4 linked regions of the Diceros bicornis minor genome follow. The protein of the gene in region 2 interacts with the protein of the main gene of each other region in a biochemical or structural test. Links are inferred from orthologs where the notes say so. Each region holds a gene or a part of one and is shown on either strand. Other genes may lie near its edges. The genes, in order: IER3, MAPK1, ESR1 and MBP.

Evidence for each region.
Region 1: of the proteins of MAPK1 (region 2) and IER3, one has a biochemical effect on the other in vitro, tested with the Homo sapiens proteins (2 studies listed by BioGRID and IntAct). The link is inferred for Diceros bicornis minor from reciprocal best matches to the Homo sapiens genes MAPK1 and IER3.
Region 3: of the proteins of MAPK1 (region 2) and ESR1, one has a biochemical effect on the other in vitro, tested with the Homo sapiens proteins (3 studies listed by BioGRID, with this or other methods). The link is inferred for Diceros bicornis minor from reciprocal best matches to the Homo sapiens genes MAPK1 and ESR1.
Region 4: of the proteins of MAPK1 (region 2) and MBP, one has a biochemical effect on the other in vitro, tested with the Homo sapiens proteins (16 studies listed by BioGRID and IntAct). The link is inferred for Diceros bicornis minor from reciprocal best matches to the Homo sapiens genes MAPK1 and MBP.

The regions. Positions count from the first base shown.
Region 1 is NC_080753.1:34,380,547-34,387,045, reverse strand, and holds IER3 (radiation-inducible immediate-early gene IEX-1), read right to left. Parts: upstream 1,813-6,499; 5' UTR 1,780-1,812; coding exon 1,570-1,779; intron 1,480-1,569; coding exon 1,219-1,479; 3' UTR 518-1,218; downstream 1-517. UniProt on the Homo sapiens protein: May play a role in the ERK signaling pathway by inhibiting the dephosphorylation of ERK by phosphatase PP2A-PPP2R5C holoenzyme. Also acts as an ERK downstream effector mediating survival.
Region 2 is NC_080774.1:30,335,444-30,343,231, forward strand, and holds the start of MAPK1 (mitogen-activated protein kinase 1), read right to left. Parts: upstream 3,024-7,788; 5' UTR 2,824-3,023; coding exon 2,708-2,823; intron 1-2,707. UniProt on the Homo sapiens protein: Serine/threonine kinase which acts as an essential component of the MAP kinase signal transduction pathway. MAPK1/ERK2 and MAPK3/ERK1 are the 2 MAPKs which play an important role in the MAPK/ERK cascade.
Region 3 is NC_080778.1:16,963,456-16,970,389, forward strand, and holds the start of ESR1 (estrogen receptor), read right to left. Parts: upstream 3,010-6,934; 5' UTR 2,951-3,009; coding exon 2,499-2,950; intron 1-2,498.
Region 4 is NC_080755.1:65,461,255-65,468,752, forward strand, and holds the start of MBP (myelin basic protein), read right to left. Parts: upstream 3,019-7,498; 5' UTR 2,838-3,018; intron 2,395-2,837; exon of another isoform or gene 2,131-2,394; intron 1-2,130. UniProt on the Homo sapiens protein: The classic group of MBP isoforms (isoform 4-isoform 14) are with PLP the most abundant protein components of the myelin membrane in the CNS. They have a role in both its formation and stabilization.

The sequences.
Region 1 (6,499 bases), on a different chromosome or scaffold from region 2:
GGCCTTCCTGGAACCTGGGCCCGCGCTCGCGCCCCCCACCCGGCCGCACCCTGTTGCAGCAACAGACACAACCCCGCCCCCGCGAGGGACCACCCTCCACCCCTCGGCTCCGCGCGCTCGGCCCGCCCCTTTCCCGGCAGGCACCGCTCGGGTCCGCAGCCCGCCGTCCGCCCCGCCCACCGGGGCAGCCTCGCGAGCCGATCTTCCCGAGCCGGAAGCCCCGCCCAGGCCGCTCCGCGCTCCGCCCCCGGGCGCGGGACTTGACCTCCGTGGGTCACCCCAGGGAGATTGCCTCATCTCGGGTTTGCCTCGCGCTACCTGGGGAAACCACAGACTGGGCAACGAACGACTGCATCCGGTCACCGGATGCTGGGTTCCGTGACTCCGGGAAGAGGCGCTTCGGGGCCCGGGGCAGAGCGCCTGCTGGGGACGTGGCCTCCCCACCCCCCCGCCCCCCGCGCCGGTCCCTGGCGCCAGAAGTGGGGAATTGTCGCTTGCAAAGACACACTCAAATGACTGCGGACAATAATCGAGTTTATTTGTGTTCACAGAACATACCGGGCGACCCCACAGCCGCCCCCTGACAGCTCACTGACCCGCGACCCCGCAGCCACCCCTTGGGGGCAACTTCGAAGGGCTCGAAGGCCAAAGACCGTATTCCCAACGGCCCGCCGAAGCCTCACACAGTAGACTCGCGGCGTTGAGATGCTGGAGGACGAAAAGGGCCAACCGTAAACCTGCGACCCACCACCGGCCTTGACTCTCAGCCCGGGGGCCCTCCCGGACCCGGGTCCTCTCCATTCCCTCTCCCTGCTTCCCTCATTTCTAGGCGCCCCGCCTCCATCAATCCCATAAAGCTCAATAAATACCGAGAGATCTGCACTTGCAGCAAGAGAGCGCATCTCGCTCCCTTGCATAAGTTAAAATAAATATTACATACACCCCTCCATCACCTAGGGGGGACATACATAAATACATATAAATATTAATGAGGAGCACTGAGAAATAAATTAACGCCGCTCTCCTTCTCCGCCCGGCCCAGCCCTGGCGTGTCGCGCTTGCCTCCTCCTAGGCGCGGGCTGTCGTCTCCGCTGTAGTGTTTGCTCTGAGTCTGAGTTGCCTCGGGACTCCCAGTTTGGGATACGCTCTCGCGCACCAGGTACACCTGGTGTTTCTTTAATTTTTCAGGTTCTTTTACGGGAGTGTGGGGAGTCGCGGTTAAAAGGCGGCCGGGTGTTGCTGGAGAAACGTGCTGAGGTCTAGAGAGTAGTCCGAGGGCTCCGAGGTCACATTAAGGGGCTCGAGGACCGGGGACGCAGGGGTAGGCGCGGGGGCCGCGGCGCTGGGGGCGACCTCCGGGGCCAGAGGTGCCGGCACACCCTCTTCAGCCATCAGGATCTGGCAGAAGATGACGGTGAGCAGAAGAAAGAGGAGCCTTTTGGCAGGGTTCGGATCCTCAGCGGGCAGTTGGCGCCGGACCTGAGGGGAGGCAACAAAGGGAACAGGTCAGCTCAGGGCCCCGGCGTCCAGCCGTTCCCCCCCCCCACTGTCCACTTCGACGACACTCACCACTCGCGGGTAGAGGACCCTGCGGCTGCGCTTTCGGTGCCCACGGAAGGCGCTAGGGCGCTTGGCGGGGGCCGTGGCGGGCTCCGGGAGAGGGTCGAAGGTGAAGATCTCGGGACCGGAGCCCCGCCTGGGCCCCGGGCTGGTGGAAGGGACGGAGGTCGGGGATCGCAGGACGGTCATGGTGGGAAGGGAGCTGCGGGAGTGACACATTTTGTCCCAAGCGAAGCAGAAGACCGAGTGCGGAGCGGCAGCTGCGCTGAACTAGTTATACTCGCCAGAGAACTGGGCGGGCCCTTTTCGACTCCACCCGCGGCCCGGAGCGGTTGGCCGGAGCCGAAGCCGGCTGGAAATTCCGCGGATGAAGCAAAGGGAGGGGGTGGAGAGTTGGCCTGTGCAACCCTAAGCACCCAAGTGTGTATGGAGAGTTGTGAGTGGGGATGGGCGAAATGCCGGGCTGCAGGCACATGTTGGGACATGTAGCAGCTGGAGAGGGTCCCACAGAGAGTTTAGAAGATGGTTCAGCCACAGGCCGCATCTCTGGGGAGGCAGGAGGGCTTACATAAGAAGTCTGGCCATCCCAAACTGCTGGCCACAATACTGACCCAGCAAGTCAGGGAACCACAGTTACACACGCACATTCACACACTTGTAAATACACATAGAAAACACACACCCGACGAGGGAAGTCAGTAAGAAATAGCCAAGAAGAAGAAGAGAAATGAACACGCTAGAACACACAGACACAACCCTGCCTGCCTTAGCGGGCACACACACACACACACACACCCCCCCACATTGTTGAGGCGGAAACATTTTTCCTTCTTTTTTTCCTTCTAGGTTCTTTGGTTGGTCTAATAATTAAATTGACATAAGAAATTAACAGGAGAAAAACAAATTTGCGTACCTATGGGAGCCTACCAAGACAGGAGACTCAAAGGCAGTCAAGCAATTGAGGCTTATATGCCATCCTGAGCTAAGAAATGGGATAGGGGCCTGGGGCTTTGAAGGGGAGGGGGGCAATTCACAGGAAGATAAGGAGAGCAGGTGTTTGGTAATCAGATGCTGGCCCTACCATGCAGGTAAGTCTTTCAGATAAAAAAGTTATCTCTGGTAATAGCTCTCTTTTCTGGGCCAGGCCCCCTATCTAAATTCTTTTAGGCAGTTAAGGGAGAAGTAAAAAGTTTTTCCTGAGTCTGCTGGGTCTTGATTGCCTCCAGCTCAAAATAATCCACATGCCGAAGTGGCACATTTTAGGGTGGCATGTTCTGATCCCCTTCAACATGCACATAACACACACACACACACACACACACACGCACAGGGCAAAAGTGCAGAGACTGCACAGGGACAACCCAGCAAAGCTACCCACTTAGATGTGTACAGAAATGTTGACACAGAGCTGGTGCAGAGGACCACAAAACACAAAGGCAAGCGCCACCCAGATTTGCCCCTTGTTGTATGGATCAAGTAACAAAATGTGCATGAAGAACATTTTAAACTGAGAGGTTACGCAGATGTTGTGGTAACGGTAATAACTCAGCTCAAGACAGAATGAACACATTTTCATAACTGCCTTAGAGACAGCTGCTCATGGACACAGATTTTAACATCTTTTGAGCATTTCTGGGGGCCAGGCATCCTGTTAAAGCCACTGTTGAGAGTACTGAGGTTGGTTTCAGCGTGTGTGCTGCTGAGTGGGGCCAGCCAGAGACAGCGGGCACCTCAGCCTTGCGGACCTTACTCTCTGGCAGAGGGAGGGGACTCTGACCAGGAGAACTCCCTGGAGGGTCCTAAGAAAATAGAAGACTAAGTATAAGGGGGACCCAAAAGAGCTAGTGTTCTAATCAATTAGGCGAGGCTTTGTGGAAGAGCAGCATTTGAGATGACCTTGCACAGTGGGCGGCATCATGGAGTCAGATGAGGAAGATGACTGTGAGAAAGCGAATGGAATCAGCAAAGGCCTTGAGCTGGAAAAGTACAGGATGTGTTTGGGGGAATCACAAGAAAAACAGTCCCAGAGTGAGTTTCCCGTAAAGGAGAAGTGGGAAGTAATGATGGCTGGAAGGAGCTGGGCAGAGTGGGGAGAGCTTAGCTGCCAGGCCAGGAGACTGGGTTTGACTCTAGACTGTGGAGTGTGTGGGTCACAGGATGACATAAAAGGAAGGCAGTTCAAGGTGGGAAGTGAGTGGGATGAGGAGTATGCCCTGGATGGGGAGACACTGAGGCAAGGACAGGAGGCTATTGGAAAGGTTCAGGTAGAAAGAAACAGGGGCCTGAAATGAGCCATGGCAGAGGGAACCAAGAGGAGGGGTGGCTATAAGAGACCTTCCTAGCATAAGATCACCAGAATTTAGCAATAAGATGGGTATCATTGGAGTCAGGGAGCATGGAGAGTGGGGGTGCTGACAGCAAGACGATGAGAGGATCAAAGCTGACTCCTGGGATTCGAAATACATCTGGCTCAGATCTTTACACCAGATCATATCATGCCTGGTGCACATGGCAAGCATATGTATGACCTTTTCCATTAGAGGCTGTGTCACACATATCTTTGTGTCCTCCATAGAACCCATTATTAAGAATCTTGATAAATGAAAGATGAAAATGCAGAACTATAAATGCACATATAATATTCACACACTGGCTGGATCACCGCAAGCTTTTGGGACATGGACACACTCCTTCAAACTCCATATACAATTTACAACATCTTAAGAAAAGCTGTGATAATCCTTATACAGACACCAAATGAGGAATACTTAAGGGCATTTCTCAACCTAGGATATGTGGGGAGGCAAAGGGGACAGCCCCACAATTGGAGATACATAATTACTGTATATACAATTGCTTCCTGGGTCTACGTGTCACTTTATTTTACACCCACTACTCCTGTCTAAACACACGAGGCCCCTTGAGCATTACACACTTCTTCCTGACAGGCATAAAACCCACCTCCTCTACAAACAAAGACACATCCCTTTCCCACGCCTACCATCATCTTTACATTTATAAAACCCAAGCACAGTGAGCCTGCACCCCAACCTACACCCTTCTTCTAAGACAAGTGGCACACTACACAATGATCAACATAAATACATGACTACTTGTAAGTGTGGACAGGCTCACATGATCACAGAGACATAAATTGGGAGTGAGGGGAGATGGTGATGATAGAAGAAAACTGGCTGGTGGGAGAGAGGGGGAGGCACCCAAGGTCAGGAATGCATAACTTGTTTATGATGGAAAATTTCTCCAGGGCATTAGGCAGGGGAGGGGAAATGAAGGGAAGATGTCAGGATCTTTGTTTCACTCTACCTCCCACATCTGGAATCCAGGCCTCCAGCTGGGCCTGTTTATCCTCACCATCCTCCTGGCACAGAGAGATCTTTCTTTATGGCAAGACCAAAATGGGACAAAGAGAAGAAGCGGAGAACCCGGATGGCTGGCCATTCCTTCTCAACCAATCCCATCCCCATTCCTGCTACCTTCAGAGAGCCAGGGCTCTGCCCCGCCCCCTCCTGCCACACAGGAAGCTGGAGAAAGGTTGAAAGTGAATTATTAAGCCATGAGGGGATGTGGGTTGAGGGCTGGGGGACGATTTAAGACCAGAAAGGACCAGGGGCTGAGACCAGCAGCTGTACCGGTTCTCACTGCCCCAATCCTACGGGAACAGGCCCTTAGCCTCTTCCACTTCCAGCTTTCCTCATTTCCTCCCCATCTTCCCAAGATCACAGTGTGCCTTCATTCTCCTCATTTCTTGACCTCCCATAACCTCTTTCTTAGCCCGTTGTTTATTTTCTTCGTAACACTCACCACAGTGGGGAATCATTTTATGGATTTGTTTACTTTTTGTTGTTGTCTGTCTCTCCCACGGGAATATAATCTCCTGGAGTATACAGGACCACATCCGCCCTTCCCTCATGATAGCTCTGTGGGATCTCCAGGACTTGGCCTTTCACCTAGTAGGGGCTTAATCAGTATTCTTAAATCGGTCTCCACTGAGGTGTCTGTATGGCTGTGTCCCTTCCGAGGCCCCCAAGCTTCATCTTCAAAGAGGAGTTTGGGAGATGCTCCACTGAGGCTCAGGGGGACCTGCCATTGGATCAGGACTAACTGTGCAGGTGACACATGGCAAAGCCCTCACCCTTCATAAGTCCCTGACATAAGAGTGAGTCACACCTGCTGCTCCACCTGGAGTACTGCTGCATGGCTGACCACAGGCTTGGCTAGGGGACAAAGATAATGGGAAGGAGGCAGAATGGGCAGGGGAGATGGAGACAGATATTTGGATGTGGGAGCTTCTGAGAGAGGGAAGCAGGGATACAGGGATGCAGCCAGGGGACTCAGGGAATGAAAACTGGATGCTCTGAGCTGGACCTGGAGGTTAGTAGATGTGGAATAACTATTTGTCCACTTGAGAGGAGTTTGAAACAGAGAGGAAACATGGGGTAGCAAAAAGAGCATATTATCATCTAGTGGTGTTAGAGGAAACTGAGTTTAAATTCCAGCTCTGCTGCTTATTAACTATGTGATATTGGGCCAGCTACTTAACTTCTCTGAAAATGTTTCCTCAATTGAAAAGTGGGCAACTTGGCTGTCAGGTTATTGCAGGGATTAAGGATATGATTACACTGCTCCTAGGCACACAGTAGGTGCTTCTGCTGTGGTGGCCATTATTATGGCTATGGGAAGAGGGCTACTTTGAAGCAGATGTGGGCAGCCATGAGCTAACCTAGGAGTAGGAGACCAGGATGAGAAAATAGCCTGCAAGTGCTAAGATCATCAAAGATACAATTTCTCTTTTTCTTTTCATCCCCTCTTCCCTCCCTCTCCATCTCAGGCAGGTTTTGTGGCTTTTTCTTTTCTCCAGAGAAGCAGTCTTCTGCGTTCCTAGTTCTTGTTCAGCCAATGCAAGTGATTTTAAACACCC
Region 2 (7,788 bases):
CTGAGGCTTTGGGGGAAAAAATAAATAAATAAAATTAAAAAAAAAAAAATTTAACATTTCAATCAAGAAGCCCTCCATAGGGACCGGCCCAGTGGTGTAGTGGTTAAGTTCTCCCATTCCACTTTGGTAGCCTGGGGTTCGCCGGTTCGGATCCTGGCCACGGCCCTACTCAGCACTCATCAAGCCACGCTGAGGCGGCACCCCACATAGAAGAGCTGCAACTCTAGGACTATGATACACAACTATGTACTGGGGCTTTGGGGAGAAAAAAGAAAAAAAGAGGAAGATTGGCAACAGATGTTAGTGCAGGGCCAATCTTCCTCAAAAAAACAAAACAAAAAACAAACAAACAAAAGCCCTCCATAAACCCAGTACTGTTAATCAACATTTACTAAATGCTAATAATGTATAATGTAGATTAAATTCTTACTAGGGTATATCATCAACCTGAAGATAAAAAACTATAATCTGGACCCAGGATTCTAATTCCAATGATATTCATATTTTACTTAGGTAAAGGAAATTACAGCAAAAGTACTTGGCACTTCACCTGATAGAGACTTAGGTCAAATAACTCTACAGTAGTGACAGAAACAGTTACTAGATCTAAATCATCTAAAGACTAGTAAAAATCTTATCAGATAGGAAAAAAAACTTTCAACTGAAATGTCCTAAATCTAAAAATTTTTTCAGTCCATATTTCAGGTGTTACATTTTTTAAAAGGGTCAAAGGAATGTGATGGCCAATTGTGAGCCTTTCACAATGAGACACGTTCACAGGCGTCCTCACCAGCAGGTGCAAGAGCAATCAGATGTATGCAGAGAAGTGATGCTGCCGGCAGTACTTGCTCTCTGTTACTTTCTAGGGCCTTATTTCTTTTAGACTTAACCTAATTTAATTTCTTTTTCGGCTCCTAAGCCTCTGAGTTCACATTAATTTCCACAGTTGGACACCATGAAGCATTTTGCTCCAGAAGAAAACGAAAATATTCAAAAATCTGTTAGTCCTTTTTTTTTTTTGTGAGGAAGATTGGCCCTGAGCTAACATCTGCCAATCCTCCTCTTTTTGTTTTTTATTTTTTGCTCAGGAAGACTGTCCCTGAGCTAACATCCGTGCCCATCTTCCTCACTTTATATGGGATGCCGCCACAGCATGGCTTGCCAAGCGGTGCATCGGTGCGCGCCCGAGGTCCGACCCGGCGAACCCCAGGCCGCTGCAGCGGAGCGCGCGCAATTAACCGCTTGCGCCACCCGGCCGGTCCCTATTAGGCCTTCATTTTAAAAAAGAATTTTAATGAGTCTTTCTGTCTAGCTATGATACCTAGTAACACATGCTCTCTATGGCATTTCTAAAATTATAATCATTCAAATTTAAATGTGTTTCTAAAATAGATTTGCTTATAACAGTAAAACATACTAAAATTCTAAAATTACTAATAATACTATTTAAGGAAAGCAGGGAGTAATAGGAAGAGCTGCAGCATTTGAAGTAGGATCTCAGTCTACAATATCAAGTCTGACTCTTTAGTTTTATGACCTTAGGGATTGGCTTCACCTCGAAATACTTTCTCACCTGAAAGAGGGATATTACCACCTCTTCCTCTCTTGAGGTAGCTGTTCATATAAAATGAGATAACGTACCTAGCACAGTACCTGCCAAGTGTTCAATAAATATTAATTTGCTTCCTACAATCAACACAAAAAGACACAAGAAGATTTAGCTGTAAGATTTAGGTGTGTCTTCATCAGCACAAAACACTACAGCTAGTTGGTTCTAATAAAAACAATACCGTCACCTCCATTCCACAATCTGAGGGATCTGGATCAAGATGAGAGAGCCTGCACGTGATTCTGCAACAACTCCATTAAGGCTGTATATATACTGACCACTAAAACATTAATAGGAAAAGTCCACAGTAATTGTGCTAAAACGTCTGGAGACGTTTATGCTGATAAGAGCGCTCACTCGAGGCAAAGAAAAAAAAGTCAAATTAGGCCCAACTCCAGATGACTCCTTAATAAATCAAGAGAGCGATGCTGGCTTACTCTTCCTGAAACGCAAACAGTAAAATATTAAAATCCACTTAAAAACTTCGAGATTGAAATATTCCACAAACAGCACTGGTGCCGCTAATGCTTTTTAGAAAGCCTGCGCAGGAGAGCACCATTAGCACCACTAAAGATGTTTCATGAAAGCCGTTCGCGGAAAACACAGGCGACGGGAGGAACATCGTATGTGATTATTTCGGCATTCTGTACACACCCCGAGGCGAACCGCTTTCAAGACCACGGCCGCCGCCACCACCGACAAACATCTGAAGGAATTCCTGGCTTTACAATCGGATGTGCAAAGAAGGCTGGCAAACTGGGGGACGGGAGGCGCCACCGTTCCCTGCCCGGGGGTCCTCGCTCTGAAATTCGCGCTGCGCCCGGTTCCGGGAGTCCCTGGTCCCGACCCCCGCCCCCCGCGCCCCTCCCCGCGGCGGGTGAGGGTCGACCCGCGAAGCGCCGCGAGCAACACGCAAACCTCGCCCGGCCCCAGGGCCCCGCCCGAGGCCCCCGGTGCGCGGACCGCGGCGAAGCCCGGGGTCGAGGTCGCGGCGGCGCAGGAGGCCGAGGCGCGGACGAGGCCGCAGCTGCGTCCGCGGCGGCCCCGGGCGGTGGGCGGCGGGCGCGGCCGGGCCTGCGGGCGAGCGCGGACACTCACCACACCATGCCGTAAGCGCCCTCGCCGATGTACGAGAGATTGGTATAGCGTGGCCCCACGTCGAACACCTGCCCGCGGACCATCTCCGGGCCCGCGCCCGCCGCCGCCGCCGCCATGTTGGCTGCCCGGCCGCCGCCGCCGCCGCCGCGCTGGGCTCGACGCTCCGCGGCCGCCGCTCGGCCCACGCCGCACCTCCCGGAGGGACCGCGCCGCCGCCGGTGCAGCCGCCGCCGCTGACCGGGAAGCAGCAAGGAGGTCACCGCTCAGGAAGACTCGACACCCAACAATCCCTCGAACCGACTGCCTGCTTGACTGACGGACGGGCCGGCGGGCGGAGGGAGGGGCGCGCGCCGAGGGCGCCGGGGCGGGGCCAGGCAGCGTGCACGCCGATTGGCTCCCCGCGGCCTGGGGGCAGGGCTGCGCGGGCCGGCGGAAGCGGCGAGCTCAGGGCGAAGCACTGCGGCGGCGGCGGAGGCACCGCCCTGCGTGGTCACGTGTGTTCGCGGGGGAGTCGGCGCGGGAGGCGGTTCCCGAGATGCAGGAGGTTACGGAGGCGTTGGACAGATTTGGGACGTGGCTTGCCAGACGGTCAGGGGAAGGGAAATACCCAGAGTGGGGGTTCTGGCGGAGCCAGAGAGCCCCCGGGGACTGCGCGTGAGAGACGAGGACGCGCCACACACGGCCGCGGTCTGCGCCAGGCGTGTGCGGGTCCGTGGTGCACACACGAACTTAGAGGCCTCGAGACGAGGATAGGAACCGAAAGGCGTGACCGAGACCGAGAAAGACGTTTGCGTACTAAGAAAGTGTGAAATACAAAGGTCGAGACCAAAAGGAGAGACTCTGAGAGGATCCGTTACTCAGACAGAGGTTCATTCAACGAGTGTTTGTGAAGCACCTGCCATGTCCCTGGGCATGCACCCTCACAGAAGTTACATTCTAGAAGGAGGCATAGATTAAATAGAAATATATACATATGAAATACTCAAGTTCTGGTAAGTACTATGAAGAAGTATAAGGCAGAGTAGGGAGTTAGGGAGTAGTGGAGTGAGACACTAGAGAAAGACATTGAGATTCAGAAACTGAGACCCAGATTGCACAGATGCACAGAATCTTAGACATAGGACATACTGAAGTATGAATGCAAAGATGAAAACGCTAAAACCAAAACATCCATATCTAGAGAAAATGAGACAAACACACTTGGGCTCAGAAATAGTCACACACACCAGAGGTTGAAAAGTAAAAATCGGAATCCTGAAGCAGATGAATGCCAAGAATAGCTAACACAATGAGACAGAAAATGATGGAGCCCCTGCTTCTGAACCATTTCCCATGCCATCTTTGGAGGGGGAGTCAGGGTGGGAGATGATGCATTCTGATTGTCCAATACTGTGATCTTGAAAGCCATCAACTCAGGACTTTCAGACATCAGTGAAGTTCAAGTAGTCAGTCTCAAAGGTGATTAAGCAAATTTTTAAAAAACCCCATAGGAAAAAAATATGTGGCACATGAGAAAAGAAAGAAAGTGCTAGAGCCGAAACTTAATCTTTGAAATATATTTAGTCCATGAAGCAGAACCCAGTTTTAGAAAGCACCTAATGCTTATTCTTGATTATAAGAGGACATTGCGTCTTTTAAAGAACAGGCCAAAGTAAATGGAGAGTACTATGAAATTAAAACCACTATAACCAAAGCAAAATTCAGTGGTCAAAGCAGTAAAAGGCAGATTTGATAATGCAACAGAGCAAATCAGCAATATAGAAGATAAATATAAGAAAAATTCAAAGTGCTGGAATTCTTTGAGAAGAAAACTTCATGGAGAGTCAAACTATAGGAATTCCCCTAACAGAAGTCAGAGCAAATCAATTAGAGGCAATAATTAAAATGATAATAAAAGAAAACTTGCCTTAGGTCTGAAAAGATCTGAGGTGGAGATGGAAAATTGGGTGAGTTCGCTGGGATGCCGAAAAATGAATGAGCAGAAACCAACCTCGAGACATAATTTCGGGGGTAAAGAACAAACACAGTATCCAATCAGAAAAAAAAGATTATGGTAAAAACTGGTTTTCTTTAGATTCCTCCTCTGTAATTAAATGGAAAGGAAAATGGAACAAGATTGACAGCACTCTGAGGGGGTAGGTTGTAACCCTCCTTGGAGGGTTTCATCCCCTCCAATGCCTTGATTCCTTCTAGGTCTTTAACTGTTGCTCAGAATCTGCCTCCTGAAGTTCAAGTCATCTTGTCCACTGGACAGCTCCATGTGACATCATCCTCCAAGAGCTTCAACTTCATATATCCAGACTGCCAGTGGTTAACTGGAGGAGTTCTGCACTCAGACTGCCAGAGGGTTTGAATCTTTGCTGCTCCACTTAGTACCTATATGAGCTTGGCCTCAGTTTCCTCGCTCTTAAAATGAAGATCACAATAGTACCTACCTCATAAGTTTGTTGTACAGAATAAATAAGACAATATATGTAAAGAGCCTGGCACATAGTAAGTATCCAATCAATGTTATCTGTTATTGTTATTTACCCCACTGAAACGTGTTCCTCATCTTCTATCTTGGATAGCATCACCACCCAGATACTCAAGCTGGAGGTCTGGGTATGATCCTTAACAACTCATTTTACCTCGCTCCCAACCCTCCCCCTTTCCAACCAGTCACAAACTCATATAAATTCTATTTCTTTAATATTTCTGAAATAGTTTCTACTCAAAGTGTGGTCTCCAGACCAGCAGCACCAGCATTATTTGGGATTTTGTTAGGAATGCAGCACCTCACCCCAGACCTACTAAATCGGGATCTGCATTTTAACGAGATCCCCAGGTGGTTCGTATGCATATTAAACTTTAAAAAGCACTGTTTTCTTTTTTATTTTTTTATTGATGTGTAATTAACATACAACATTGCATTGGTTTCAGGTGTACAACATAATGATTCAATATTTGTATATATTGCGAGATGATCACTGCAATAAGTCTAGTTAACATCTGTCGCCATACGTAGTTACAGAATTTTGAAAAGCACTGTTTTAAATGAATCCACTTCACCCGCACTGCCATCCTGTTGCGTAAAGCCTGCTGCATCAACTCTCACCTAGGCTACCACAATAGCCTTAACCCTTCTGCTTTCAGTGTTGCCAATCTCCAATTGCTTCTCCTTATACCCAGATCAATCTTTCCATAACACATTTGACCATGTCACTCCCCTTCCTAAAGCAAGTCAGTGGCTCCCCATTGCACTCAGAGTGAGGCCTTTGCTGACCACCCCTCCCCCACCACTCTGCTTAATCTGCCTTCCTTGTGCTTCATGCTTCAACCAGACTGGACTACTCTGAGTTCTCTTTGTCTTTCAGTGTCACCACATGCCTGTCTCTCTCCCTGTAACGTGTTCTCTCTCCACTCTTCCAGCATTTGTGGACATTTTAAAGCCACCACACTATCATGGCATGATGCATCTGACCACTAATTTTCTCCAGAGAACTTCTCTTGCGTGGTTCCATGGGAACTAAGTAACGTTATGATTAAAGTTTGGCTTCACTTGTGGTTTTTGACAGGGAAAGTGCACTGACCAGAGGACAGCCCTATTCAGGTCCTTTGGCAATTACTGTTCATTCTAAGATGGGATTTAGATATACATCAGTCTCTGCTGAGTCAGGTTAGCATGAGGCAGGCCCAGAGGGAACAATCATCTAGCTACATTGACAACAACAAATTTCTGGAAGCGCAAAGCTGAGGGCTAGGCTCTGGAACCATACTAAGCCACTATAGAAGCAGAAGACCTTGCTTGAATGGCCAGCTGGCCACCTGGATGTCTTCCTTATTGCCTCTCTAGAGTGGTGACAGTTCACAGATCTGCAGAATCTTAGAAAACAATGGACATCTGTCATTTTTGCCTATATAGCATCAACTCCTCCTCCTTCTGCTAGCAAAAAACCAATTTTACTTTGGTGAACCATCCCTTCTGCACTCTTCACCCCCAAGTCAAGAGTAAGTATGTGACCCAGGGCTCCCTAATCAGAGTCACAGATGGTTCAAAGGATGGGCATGTGACCTGATCCAGGCCAGTGACACTCAGCCCAGACTTGGCAGAAACAATGAGAAAGGAGTACTTCCTTTCTGTTGGGGTGCTACGGCAGTGAGTATGAGTCTCAGGCCAAACATGCCTTGATGTGAGAAGTGCCCTCTGAGAATGAAGGTAAGACGGGGAAAGCAGAGCCCAGAGATGGAGACAATTTCCTGATGACACGGTTTGAGGCTGTATTCAACTGAGCCTGGACTTTACAGGTTCGTGAGCCAATATATTCTCTTTTTTACTGAAGTCAATTTAAGGTAGGTTTCTGTAACTTGAAACCACAAGAGTTTGTGACTAACACACTACCCAGTTAACTCCCTTTTCTGCAAAAATTGCTCAGAATTTTATAATAAATCACTGAGACATGAATCAGAAACTCATGAATGATGAAATGAGAGAAAATTGGCACTGAGCCTTGAAACCAGCTAAAGATAGAGAGATAAGTGAATAAAAACACCACTCAGTAGAGACTGTTTGATGCTGATAAGTTGAAATAATTGTTGTCACTATGGTAACAAACAAAATGCAAAAGAAAAGAATTTGAGACAGAGGATTTTTAACCTCAGATTAATTCAATGAAAACCAGAGAGGAAGAAAGAGGGTAGAAAAAGCAAGGCACTAAGTCTTTTACATAAAGTGAAGATAAAAGTTATTTTTAAAAATAGTATAATTTTCATATTTTTTTAGTGTAAAATGCTTTATGTCTACCTTATAAATTATTATAGGAGATAAAAGGGAAAATGTAATTCACACAGCAGAAATCAAGAGTCCTGTACCAAGAAGTGTATTAGACACTTTCCTCACATTGTAGATGTGAGGAAATGGCAAGGAATCATAAAAAACAATGCCAAAACACCAAAAAAATAGATGATGGGAAGTTAAGACAAAGTGTAACAAATAAGGCAAATGTAAATAAATAAGAAAAACATAAATAGCTAAAATTCCTGTATAAAACTATGAAAATCTCAGATTAGATCAAAAGACAAACTCTGAATATGTACCATTG
Region 3 (6,934 bases), on a different chromosome or scaffold from region 2:
CTTTGACCTCAACCCACAGTATGAAATATATTTTATATCACAGTCAGCACACACAAGTATGTATAATTAAAACAAATTTTCAGGAAACAAAACCCACCCTTACTAAATATTATGCCCTCTAGTATATTCTCTTATATTCTTTTCTATTTTCTTCCTTAACAACACAAAGTTCTAGACTCATTAAACTCATTTTCATGATACTCTAGGTCATGACAAGCAGTTTGAAAACACTGCTTTCGGCCCCTAAAACTTTTTATAACTACTGAAGAAAGTTAAATGTTCTTTAAACAGTCTAATCAATTCTTTTCTTTTTTACCCAGAGTTATTCAAACAGGAAAAGTGACAGGGAAAAAATATTAAATAACATATGACCATTTGAAACCACACTTGCATAGACCCTTCACTTCCTCCCTGGGTAATAAGAGGCAGAATTCAAACAAAAAAGGAAGGATGCTACGGGAAGTAAACTACAAAGGAAAAATCATTCTAAAACTGAATTTCCACACAGAATCCCATTTGCGTGAGTTTTTTACTTTATTTTTAAAAGTTCTGTGTCATTTCTTTTATTATTCTAGAAGTATTTGAATATCATCAAATGCAAAAAGTTTAAGATGGGGCATATTATAGTTATATTATCTGCTATGGGATGATGAACAATTTTGAATAAAATGTGATCCCCTCTTCATTTGACCGTGTTCACTTCGTAATTATTAGCAAGGCAGTAAATAATCTACCAAGGAGCAGTCTCATTAGTGCCCATTGAATTTCAGTGGCATTAATTTGCAATAAAAGAACTGAAAATTAAATGGAAAAGAAAATAGTTTCCGGAGTCCACCATAAGGTTATGGAATTCATCTCACACCAGTGCCTTTCTTCACATCAAGGAGTTTAAAATGTTGTGTGAATTAGACTTAATCGTTATATTTTGTTCTAACACTTTTTAAAGGGAGGGGCAGAATAAATTCTTTTTCTCTTTCCATTTTAACCCTGAATTAAAACAAGTGAAATTAATTTGAAATATGCCAACTTTTTAAAGTTTTGTTCATCGCTTGTCTTTTAAATAATAACTCAGGCTGGACCTGCTTAGCTGTGGGATGCTTTTAAGTCCTTTGAGGAGGCTGAGGGATATAAGTATGTTCAGATACCCCAAGAGTCTGCCCTTCAGTATTCTCTGAGGCCAATCTGCACCTTCCTCCTGTTTCTTCTGCTATAAATATCCCTGGAAATAGAATACTAAACAGAAAACGGTCCACAGCTGGCAATGCAGAAGGATCTGGGCGAGGGCAGGAGGCAAGTCCAGACACCAATGTACCGTCAGGCAGTGCCTAACTCAGCGCCCAGCCACGTGTGCGCCCTGGAGCCTCCCAAACACACTTCAGGGTATCTGGTCCAGCGGGCGCCTAGGGCACAGGTATTCAGAAATACACACCCTTCCCAGGTCCATCAACAAGAAAAGGGAGAAAGGAGAGGAGCAAGGAGGAGGAAAATATAACGTCTACTAGAAAAAAAAAAAATAAGGACACAAGTCACAGGGAAGTCACAGAAGTGTCCCCTGTGTCCTGGACTGCCAACGCTTCTTCCAGAGCGACTGAAAGGTGAAGAACCGAGCTGACCCGGCACCCGCACCAGGGGCATTCTCTGCCCGGTAGGCCAGAAAGGGAACTTAGCTGGCAGGAGAGTATTCCAAAACCTTCGTGTTTCGATATGGCATGTTTTAAACTCACAGGACACCTATAAATTCCCGGCTGTCAGAAGTCATATGCCAGCAATTTGCTTCAACACGGACCCAGCCAGATAACTGGGAAATCAGAAACTTGTTAAGACCCATTCAACCCCTGTATTGCTCTCCTGAGGAGCGCAGTTCAGTCCTAAAGCCCTGGAGCGTGCGATGGGAGGAGGGAAAGCAGGTGCTACAAATCTCTTCCCCCAAAAATCATCATCATCATCATCACCACCATAGTGGGCATGTTTCCAATCCGAAATTCTAGATGAAAGGTAATTTTGCAAGCACATTAAAAGAAAATTTTAAAATACTAACAACAAATGAAACTCTGACGTCCGCGAACCCCAAACACCTCTAGCCCGAAATACCACAGCTGGACATTTACGAGGGACTCAGAGAGCCCCGTGTTTATTTGCTTTGGGGTGTTTCCCCCGCAAATAACTGCTGCTCTGTACGGCTTTCCAACATCTGCTTAGTCAGGAAGCGCACAGGGTTTCGGATCTGCCTGTCACGCAGACGGCAGCGGGTGAAGAAGAGAATCTTTTTAAGCCGCCCGGGGAGAGAACTTGACGCTCGGAAGGCGAGATCCGCAAATCGCTCCCGGGCCGGCCGCGCGCGGGCACTGGGGTGGCGCGTCCCGCGGCTCCTGCGCCCGGGGCCCCGCGGCCTGCGGCCTCCGGCGAGCTGGGGCGGCGCGGGCCCCGCTCCCCGCTCCCTCCCGCCCGCCGGGCGCGCGGCGGCCACCCCGACGTGGCGCGGCGGGGGGCGCGGGTACCTGTAGAACGCCGGAGCGCCGGCCTCGCGCAGGGCATAGCCGCTCGGCTCGTCCTCCAGGTAATAGGGCACCTGCTGGCCTTGGGGGTGCAGGTAGGGCGAGAGCTGCGGCGGCGGGTGCAGCAGCATCAGCGGGCTCGGAGACACGCTGTTGAGCGGCGGGAAGCCCCCCAGGCCGTTGGCGCCGAACGCCGCCGCCTCGGACCCCGGGCCGTAGGCGAGGCCGGACTGGCCGTAGACGGACGCGGAGGCGGCGGCCGCGGCGTTGAAGTCATACGCGGCGCTCTCGGGGTAGTCGTACACGGGGGGCTTGCTGCTCTCCACGTACACCTCGCCCAGGGGCCGCTCCAGGGGGATCTTGAGCTGCGGGCGGTTCAGGGCCTCCAGCTCGTTCCCTTGGATCTGGTGGAGCAGGGCCATTCCGGATGCTTTGGTGTGGAGGGTCATGGTCATGGCCAGTGGCCGCGGGCAAGGCGCATACCGTCTCCCCGCGCGGCGGAGGGCTCAGCAGCCGGCCGGCCACCTGGAAGAAGAGCACAGCCCGCGGTTAGAGGCGGCGCAGCGCATGTCCCGCCGCGACACCGGCTCTGGCCCTGCCCCGGGAGCCGGCCCGTCCCGTGGAGCCCGCGGCCGGACGCGAGCAAGTGCAGCCCCGCGCGAGCGCGCTCCGCCAACTCCCGGGCTCGGGTCTCCAACTTTAAGTACCGGTCTCCCGAGCTCATATGCATCGCAAAGGTGCTGGAAGGCGGCCAGCGGCTGTTGCCTTGCCCTGACATTGGCTTAAACATCACTCCGGGCGCAACTTGTTTTGGAGCGATCCCAAAGAGCAGCTTCCCTGAACTTTACTTTACTTGTCGCTGCTGGATGGAGGCTGAACTTCAGTGCAGGAGGGCGGGGGCGCCGAGCAATCTCCTAAAGGTGGCCCAGGGAAGATGGGGTTTAAAACATACTCGGAAGACTAATTCAGGGGCCGGCTTTCTCTAACGTGCTGCCTTATGTGCCCCGTGCCAGACTCCAATCTATCTCTGTTTGTCTCTCTCTCTGTTTGATTCACTCTCCTTGTTGGCTGGAAATATGTAGTGTGTACATAGAATGACCCTGGGGAGGACCACTCTGTAACTGAGATATGGCAGATAGAATAGGGTGTACGGTTGCATATGCAGCCAGCCACAGACAGCTATATTTAGCAGCTGCAGGGACTGACAGAAGGCATCTAGGGAGAAGCGGGTGGAGATTTAAGGTGTACATATAGGAAGAGCTGCATTTTGCAATCTGGAGAATGCTGACGGACCTCAGTTTCCTTATCCGCAAAATTCTTCCAAAGTGGTCCATTCTAGCCAGGACCTTCTGAGATTCTCCCAGTCGGACTTGTATGTTTGTGTTGGACCACAGCACTGTACTTCCTCCCATTAGGAATTCTCATGTGAATGATGATTCACAAAAACCTTTGGTTAGGAGCACACGGGGTTCGTGCCTTCCACAGGTTATGCAACCAAAACTTCAGAAAACTGAATATGAAATGTGACCTTTTCATATAAGGCGTAACCTCAGGTCATTAACCAAATTCTTGGCAATTATGTTACACTGTTGGTCGAACCAAGAAATTTTAAAATGCAATGGTACATTTCTGTTCTTTAATTCTACAACTGGACCTTCTCGGTTCACTTTGGCTAGGATATGCAGAATCAAATATCCAGATAAAAAGGAATAGAAAAAAGTTTTGAACTGAATTAAAAGGTAAGCATACACACACACACATATATAAACAAAAACATAAGGTAAATATACTGTGCACCCATATTCTTGGATAGTTTATACTTTTTAATAAACTTCCTTTGCCCCAGCCTAATAGACTCTGATATGACCATCAGATACAACCGTTAATACTTTGCTGTAATTGCTATCCGAAACACCCAACAGAGTACCTGACAAATCTTCATGGCATATAAGGATGCCAAGGTTGCTGTTACTAATGGCAATATTTTTGGATATTTTAATACTAATAAGTACACATTTTACCTAATTCTTACAAGAACAGACAGACTATTGGGGGACAATATGCAGATGTAGCTGATTTATTATGAAGCTAAAATTGAGCTTAGCATCAATAACTATCCATTGTAAGCAAAGAAAGGGTTAAAAACACATTAGGTGAATCACAGATATTTCTCTTTATGGCCAGCAACCATTACTTTCCAAAGCAATTTTTTTACAGATGATTTCGTTTTCGTAAATTACACTTCCAATTTTCAGATGTCTTTTTTAAACACATGCAAAAGCACTTCATAGGGCTCTTAAAAATCTGAACCTGCCAAATTATATAGAAATTGCACAAAGAATCCTACAAGTCTTGAAAGAAAAAGGAGACGCACACATAAACCCATGGAAAACAGCAAATCCTCATCTCCCTGCTAGGATACAGACACTGGCCAGAAAGGTAAGTTGCTTTCTCAAAATGCTCAAGCTACGAAGAGAGAAATCAAAACAATCCTACCCTGCTGGATCAAGAGCGTCTTTCCAGAAATGTTCCATGGGCTTGGAGAAGTCAAGGGCTTGACAGTGAGAAGGGAGGAAGGAATGTGCTCACATGTGCGGGTGGCTCCGTGTGTGAGCGAGGCAGAGCGTGTGTGGATGTGTTTGTGTGTGGAATGGCAGGGATTCGGGAAGCAGCCAGTAGGCAGGGCACTTGGCAGCCCCTCCCGGCAGACACAGCAGCTGGGCTGCTGCACAGAGCTGGATGAATGGCAGTGGAGAGTGAGGAGAAGCTTGCTGTCTGCTCATGGGGAGCAGTGTGGCACAGCTAGAGTCAGCATTATTGGGGAGAAGCAAACTCCAGCATCCTTTGCTCCTTATCCTGGGAGCCTGAAAGTGCCCCATGCTTTCCACTGCCATCCTGAGCAACAGGGAGAACAGGCTTGCTGTAAATCATAGGCTTACGGCTAAAATAGAATGCCAGTCAAAAGTATATGGCTATCAAGTTTACAAAATGTGACATGGGTGGTTTCTCCTGAAGAATATAATTTAACAATAAAGGCCTTCTGGGATACGCTTGGATCAGATGCCTTGCTGGCCCAAGCTCCCGGTCTCCGAACAGACACACTATTGCCATGCCTCCGATTGCACCAGGAAACCAGACTTTGGAATAAATGTTTTGGCATTCTAGGGATGTGTTTCCAGCTGAAATGTAATATTCCTCCACCTCATCAACCAAACCCACAAACCTTTCCACGAATAGCTCAGTTGACTGTTTTCTGTAAACATATGAAAAAATATGTTATTAAAAGCCTGGGGTACGAAGATAAGACAAAGGTGGGTGCCTTTGTTTTAAACTGATTTTAGGCTCTCTGGTTGTGCCAGCGTTGATCATGGGGATGGGGCTCTCATTTCCCAATGATGCCCACATGGATCCATCTGGTCTTCAACTTTTCTCTTGACCATGATGCTAACACACGATAATAAGGTGTTCCTAGTGTGCCCTCGCCTAGGGTTTCAGGACATGTGACACCTAGTGGACCCTTTGCTGCCAAACATTAGTCACTCCCTTGGGTATTAAATGACCCTAATCACAATGCCAGGAGTGGCCAGTCTCTGGCCATGAGACCCTATGCAGTTACCGAGAGATTTATGAGTGGCTCTTCAGACCACTCTGAAGTAAAGAAAGAAGTAAAAAGTTATTTGAAAAAAAAAATTACAAAATGTTAATGATGTCATAATGCCAAAATTTATTTTGTACTTTGAAAGGCCTGAAATATTGCTATATTGGAGCACAGAAGAACCCTCTCTACAATCAGCGATAAAGTCAAACACTGAAAAGTAAGCCAGTTACCCTTTGTATGTAGGTGACGATGGTGAATCCTGACTCCTCCTTTGCGTCAGCGGTGGCCACCCATGCAGTAGACCAGTCCAAAATAAAACAAGAATGTGCAAGGAAGGGAGGAGAGAGAAGGGAAGAGAAGGAATGGGAAAAGGAGAGAAATAAAGAAGGAAGAAGAAAGAAAGGGAGAAAGAGAAAGGAAGGGGAATCTGCAACTATTCTCCTTGAACGTAGGAAGGATACGATGTCTAGCTATCTCTTCATAGACTTTGATTATTATGAGGCTAACGATGAAAGTTAGTCCAAGATGTCCAACAAGGGCAGTTTTCTTAAACACTTTCTCTCCAGCATTCTCTTTCCCCTCCTTGGTAAGATTCGTCCTCCAGGCTTGGTGATGGGGGTGGGAAAGGATACTGCACCTTGCCAATTTTCTTCTAGTGCTTGTTTGCCAGAGGACTTTGAGGGCTGTCTTTCTCTTGCCTTCCATATTCTGCAGCATTCGAGCTATGCAATCTCTCCCTTTTCCTTCCACTTCTATCACCCTCCTTCAGCCCATCATTCCCTTACCTGTTGTAAGAGCCTCCTAGGGACCTCTGCTTCTTCCCTCCTCCCACTTCTTCCCA
Region 4 (7,498 bases), on a different chromosome or scaffold from region 2:
GATCCCTTGCAGTAAGTCGCTAACACCTATCTCCTCTTGTTCTGTTTCTCTGGTTGAAGCCTGACTGCTACACGTTTAGATGGAGATTTGAAATCTGCTCAGGAGAATGCACTAGCTGCTCATCCAGCATCTCTGCTTAGCGGGAGCATGAGGGTCTCCCTCTATGCTTACTGTTGTGTTAAACCCAGCTCCCAAAGCCCCCAAACTCAGGCCCATTTAAACTTCCTTCAGTAGCTCTAATGGACCAATAGAAGTGTCTTACTGCTTAACAACCACTTAATAAAAATTATGCTAAGTAATTAGAATATTTTCTTTCCTCCTTTACTGATAGCTAAGGAAGTTAAGGAGAGGATGACTAACAGACACACGACAGCACCGTAGAGTCAAATCATTCTGAAGAGGAAGCATATTGTGTTGGGTGTGGTCTCTCATTAGAGGTGGGATTTTAAAAAGAAAAAGAAATGGAAGGCAGCTCTGCAAGTCTGCAAGGTGTCCTATTCACCGAGGCTGGGCAGGGCTGCAACTAGGGGCTGGTGGGAGACTCCTGGAACTGAACTGAACTCCTGGGGTGTCTCTGTGCCTTGGCTTTCTCGTCAGTAAAAACGAGGGTATTTATAGGGTAGTTTTATCAGATGAGGGTATCCTAAGGTAGTCATGACATTTTGTTTTGTTTTGCTGAGGAAAACTGGCCCTGAGCTAACATCTGTGCCCATCTTCCTCTATTTTGTATGTGGAACACCGCCACAGCGTGGCTTGACGAGCGGTGTGTAGGTCCACACCCCAGAATCAGAACCACTGACCCCGGGGCTGCTGAAGGGGAGTGCATGAACTTAACCACTATGCCACCAGGCCAGTCCCGTCTTGACTCTTAATAACGTGGTACAGCTCTCAGAAGAGAGTTCCGCAATTCATAAGGGGTCAATAAATGCTACCTGGATACTTGGATAGAAAAGGCACAGAGGCAGTTGCTAATCTTGTGTCTAATTTTTAAAGAATCTAGAGAGAAACTAAAAATCAAACAGAATAACTTTCAATTAATGTTTAAAAATTCAAGCAGAAATAGAAGTCATAAGAAAGCTTGGTCTCTACTCCTTTTCAGCTTTTAGTAGACACCTTCACTCAGCACAGTCATTGCCAGCATGGACGACACACAAGCCCTGACCTTCAAAACCACGGAGGAGCAACCCAACACCTAAACATGCAACACGGAACATTTCTTAAATTTTCTTATCTTTGGGCAGAGATGTGATACTTTAGAAAGATTTTCAAACCGGATTTGAACCAAATAACTTTTGTTTAACCTCTACTTAATAAAAGTAGTCATTTCAGAACAGTTAAACCCTTGCGAGTTACTATTAACCAACATTTTACAGTAATCTTTAACTGCCTTCTCTCCCTTCAGGTTTTCGTTTATCCCACTTAAAAAAATAAAACCGCCGATGGGCACTTTTCCTTAGCTATTAGGCTACTGGCCTCCCTGCAGGTCATTGTTCACTGAGGGCTGCTCTGTTCCAGGCTCTCGCCAGCTCTGCACACGGGGCCCCAAGGTCTAAAAAGGCCCCCACGTCACGCAGGGGGGGCCTGCCAGCCGGCCTGTGGTGCAGGATTGAGCCGGATTCAGGGTGGTCCCTGACTCGTGGGTGACAGTCTGTAAAGTGTAAAGGGCTTGGCGGGCTACAATCTTCTCCAAACCCACAGGTCTTAAATAGGCAGCACCCTACAGTTCCCTTCCTCTGAAAAACTCTCTTCCTAGCCGGTTGTCCGTGTCCGTTGCCAGAACAGCCAGAGGCCCCCCGGACCACGTTTACAGCCCTCCCAACACATCCCAACTCTCTCACGTGCCTTCCACTGACGCAGAGATAAACTGAACACATGTTGTTGATTCTCACGTTGTCGCAATTGGAAAACAGAGAACCAGGAACCAGAACGCGCTTGTTTCCTGCCAGTCTGACGGAGATCCCCAAAGAAACCGAAATACTTTTCCAAACCCCATTCCGCCTTCCGAAACAGGGGACGCGAGTAGACCCTAAAAGAAATGAGGCGCTGACCACCAGCATCCCACAAGACCAAAGCCAGCCGGGCGTCAGCGGAGTGACAGCGGAACACACGACACCCTCTGGAACAACGAACCCGGCGCGTGGGGCGCAGGAGGGGTCACGGCGCCAGGCGCGCAGATGGCTGCAGGTGGGCCCAGGTGGGTTACAGGAGGCGCAGGTGGCTGCCAGCGGTGCGGCCCGAGCGGGACAGGCCCTGCCAAGGCGGAAGCCAGGCGAGTCGCCTGTCGCCGCCCTCGTCGCTCAAAGGGAAATTGTGCTTCGTCTGGGGCTGGGGAGGCGGGGTCGTCCGCTGGGCTCCAGGCGGGGAATTAGGAAGCACTTCACGCTGGTGGGCACCCCGGCCCACCCGTCGGCTCGCCCCTAGCCCCGTCTCCGCACCGCCCAGAGCGGCCTCTTTGACCTGTGTCACCTCCCACCCCGAAACCCCACCTCTAGGCCGCCCGCTCTTCCCGCCACCCCGGTCGCCCGGCCCGGCCAGAGACCACACCTGGAAATCCGTCGGGTTCCAGCCCCGCCGCCATAGACTGGCGTCTACACCCGCGCCCACTCCCTCGCAGGGAGGCCATGGGGCTGCCACCTGCCTCTCCACCTGCGCCGCTGCCCGGGGGAGCCCCGCGCGCCCTGGCCCGGGAAAGCCCCGAGTCCGGCGCAGGGAAAGAGCCCCCGGCGTCCGCCCCCTCTAGCCCCGCGTCCCGGGCTCCGGGTCCCCGCGGTCCCCCGCTCTGAGGACGCGGAGACAAAGCGCCGCGCCGCCCCCCGCCCCCGGCGAGGATAACCCACCGCACTGCGCTCGCTGCTTCCAGGCCGATGGGCGCCTCGGGGTCCCAGGCCGCCTCTCCGCCGCCCAGGCCCCAAGCGCGGGCAGCGCGGGGTCCCGGGGCCGCCGGCACTGCCTTCCGGGGTAGGAGACGCGGGCCGCCAGGGCCGGAGGCTCGTCCTCGCTGCGCGCGGCGGCGGTGACTGACTGCTGCTGCTCCCGGGCCGGGCGTGCACCCCGCCCCGTCTCCGCCCCTCCCCCGCCTCCCGGGCTCCAGCCAGCCAGGTAAACACCGCGGACTCGAGCGGAGCCCGGCCCACCTGCCGCCCCCGGCCGGCGCTGCCTGCGGGCTGGGGACCACTTGCGGGACGGCCTTGCCACGCGGAGCTCCGGGGACACGCGGGGACCGGGGCGCAGGGTCAGCCCTGGGAGGGCGGGGCCGGAGTGGGGCCGCCGCTGAACTGCTCTTTGAACCTTTTCTCGTGGCTTAGCCTCTGAAACTACCCCCGCCCGACCTGGCCGGGAGGGACGGGAGATAGCATCTCCTCCACGCCCCATTCCATAGGCAGGCGCCCGAGGGCCAGAGCGCGGGCTCCGACTGCCCGGTCAGTGCCGCGTCTCTAGTGCTCGCCCTGTGCCAGGCCGGGCCCTGGAGAGCACCCGGGCATTCGCCTTGCAGGGTCCCAGCACCCTGACAAGTGCTGCGCCGGAGAGCACAGGTTTCCACGAAGAAGGCGGGAGAAGAGCGCTGGTAAAACAGACCAAAACAGGCACAGTCGGAGGGGCGAACCTGGGTCCTGAGGCGCCGAGGCATCTATTGGCTTGTGGTCGGTGTCATCCTCTTGGTCCGTTTGTCACTTGGACACACAGATCTGGTGGAGTCAGAGGGCCCTTTCCCCTGGATTCTTGGCTTCCTCCTGATGGTGAGAAAGTAGGAGGAAGGGGGAGAGACGCCGCCTGAGACCCTAGCTCCCTCCTGACTTAGATTCTGGGTTAGGGAATTGAACGATACTTCCTAGAAGCCCTCGGGGCCCCACACGGTGTTTATGACGGAGAGGGGAAGTCTGGAGCTTGGCAAGACTCAGGGAGCCCCTGTCCCTTGGGCCAGCTCTGCGGGGGACAGTAGAGCCGACTCCTAGTGTGGTTTCAGGGCTGCCTGCCCAGACCAGCCGCCCTCACAGCCCCGGGGATTTATCAACTATGTTCAGATGCTGGTGATTCTGTGAGAAATATGTCCACAGTAATATGAACGCGTAATCTGATCGTTTCCTGAGAGAAGTGGCCAGAGGAGAAACCGTGGGCGTTCCCGGAGTTTGAGGTGGGAGGTCAGGAGGGGCAGGGAAAAAGGGGTGTTGGCTGTGCGGAACATCGAGTTTGTCTCCTTCCCAATGTTTCTGCCCCGTGCCTTCACACTGACGTTCAGGAATGGATAACCGGGGGAGTGAGGGAGCCTGACAGACACTGAGGGCGCACAGGGCAGTGAGTCTAACTGGGGAAGCTCCTAGGTCCCTGGCTCAAGTCATTCTTAAGCCCCGCCCCCAACTCCTTAAAGCTCAGGCCAGGGGACCCAGGACCTGGGTTCCATTTGGATTCCAGTTTGGGCATCACAGACAGCTTGTCCTCTCCCCAGATGTGTCTTTGCTTCTTCCTGGGGAGATGGGGATGCCGAGGAGACTGGGGTTCCTGACTTGCAGATGTCGGTGAAGGCTGAGGCTGGAGAGGCGCACAGACCACTCTGAAACAGCATCCTTTGTTCTTCTGCTTCATGCTGCTTCTGCTGATTTCTCTGTGGTTTATAGAGACTTTACACATACCAACAGTCATCTCTGCAAATGTCAGGCTTGCCAGCTCCAGTTAAAACTCTTTTAAGTATTTGTAAAATTCCACCATGCATATTTTGTGGGGATATAATGCCCCCACATTCATGGGTACTTCAAGGAAAATGTCTGTGAGGGAGGAAGGACCACTGCTTAATAGAGCGATGGATGGGCATTTGGGAGGTCCAGTCTTAGCACCTTCCCCTCTGGCCCACCAGGGAGAGGAGCCTAGGTGGAGGAGGCATACATAGGCCGGCACATCACCATGGGGAGTTGCACTTTGCATAAAGATGGCCCTGTGTCTTTTAGCAAAATGACAGATTCATTTTGCTGAATGAAACTGAAGGGAGTCTTTTGACAAGTAAAGGATGAATGATCCAGGCCTCATCGTCTCTTCGATATTTTTAGGAAAATCATATTGCAAATTCCCTCTACCTCTCATTCACTTCAGATATTGAGGGAAGGAACCTTCAGTCTTTCATACTGCAGCAAATAACACAATGTTTTGTGCATGATATACACTCAGTAAATTTTTATTAAGTCGAATTAAACTCCAAATTACCCAAACTAAAGGAAGTAAGTAAATTAATGTAAATAATTTCCAGTAGACCAGATTGCATGCGTTTTGAGTTTTCTTTACTTTCCCCATCAACAGATTTACCTTTGTAATTATATTTTTGCTTAGAAAAGACCTGAACTTCATTTTCATCCTGGTCTGTAATTAACAATTTGCTGGTGATGTTCGTAAAGCAGATAATCTACCTGTACAGGGTTGAGGGCTGACTACTTCACCATAAATTCCAGTTAATAACTGGATGGCCTCTGCTGTGGTCAGTGGAAGAAAATTAGGTGCACGAACTCCAGAAAATGCAACATAGAAAAAAAAGCCGTTATATGAACAAGGAAAACACTTGAGGGCTCAGCCACACACGCCTGCACAACCAGACACCCACAAACACACACAACTATGTGTCCATTCACATATACACACAACCGCACACACATTCACACACAACCACAACCACACACACGTTCACATACACACATGCACACAACAAGAAACACACTCACAAAAAGCCATTTGTTACTTCACCTCTGGTGAAACATCAGGACAAAAAGAAAGAAAAGGAAATTTGTAGGTCTCTGGTTATGTGGGAAAAAACAAAAAAATCTTTCATACATTTTTCTACCATCAACTTCTTGTATTTTTAAACTGTTTTATAAAGTGTGTGTGTATATACTGTATATATATTTTTCTTTAACCATAGTTCTATAGTTTTGTTAATAAAAATAAAAGCAAACTGCTATCCATAGAGATTAAAGTTGTTCTTAGTGAGCTACAGATATATATTAGCGATTCTCTGTATTTGAGAAGGAAATCTATGTATTTCAATAGATATCATACTTGGTAGTTAACTACCATTCTAATTGCTTCTAGAATTTCTGTATTTTTCAGTAAGATCCCTAACTACGTATGGGTTACTTTTCAATATACCTGTTAATTTCTTAGGGCTCACTGCACTGGCGAGTAGATACCATAAGATGGAGTTAGTTGGCAATTGTATTTTCCAGAGATGGCCTGACACCAACTCCAGTCCCACATATTCTCCTTCCTTTGTGACTGTGACTCATGGCATGGAGAAGTGGGGTCCGTGTCCCCTCCCTGTGAGCCTGGGTGAACCTTGTGACTGCCTCCACTAACAGAGTCAGGCTCTGGACTTCTGAGGCTGGATCATGACAATGCCCTGGAGTTCCCCTTTTCTCTCTTGAGCCTTTCGCTCTTGGAACCCAGCCACCGTCCTTTGAGGAAGCCCAGGCAGCCACCTGGAGCGACCACCTGCGTGTGCTCTTGCTGACAGCCCAGGGGAGGCGCACGCTGACAAATCTTCAGACACACTTCTGTCCCCGTCCCCCTCGGCCCCTGAGTCTTCCCAGCTGAGCTCCCAGCCTCACGGAGCAGGAAGGCGCATCCGCTCCGTGCACTTTCCAAATTCCTGATCCCCAGAATCCAGGAGCATAACAAAATGGCTGTTGCTTTACTCCACTAGGTTTGGGATGCTTTGTTATGCCTCAGTGGTAGCTGGAAGGTCGGTTAGAATGATAAATGGAAGGATGGGGATCAGGAAATGTCGAGAGTGTGGACGCCACAGCCCAGGCCCCAATTTATTACACTCTTTGTAAATAACCATGATTCCACTTCCAGAGAAGAAAGTATTTTATTAACTGACGATTTCATGTATCAAGCATTTCGTTCATTCATTCACTCATTTATTTATTCAGAACTATTTATTCAGCAATTAAATAAGGTGCATCCTTAGAGCCAGATGAAGAAGGAGAGTGGTGAGCCAGCTGAGCACCGTGGAAGGGCAGCCACGTGAGGGGGCGGTGGTGAGACATGGGTCTGGGAAGGCTTTCTGAAGGGAGGGTTTTGATGGATGGGTAGGAGTTAGCCAGATGAAGGGGGTAAGGGAAGAGTAGCCAGCAAACAGGACGACACGTGCGAAGGAGGTGCTTGTGTGAGAGGAGACAGGTGGGGCCGCAGGTGAGAGCCACCGCCAAGTCCTATGGAGGGAAAACACAAAGTGACCATCAAATCCAAGGTTTGCCCACCACGGGGCGCCTGTTGTGAGGCGAGGCGGCTTGTGTGTCTGCACCTCTGTTCTCTACATGGTCCTCTCTCCTTCCTGCCCACACACCCGATCTGCCTTCCTCCACCAGGCGTACGTTTTCTGCAGTTTACCTGAAGTGGTGAAGAAACTTCGTTTCTGTTGAGAACAACTCACTGTTATGGGTTGAGTTGTGTCCCCAGAAAGCTACGTCCTCGTCCTGCCAGGTCCCTGTGAGTGGGGCCTCGTTTGGAAATAGGG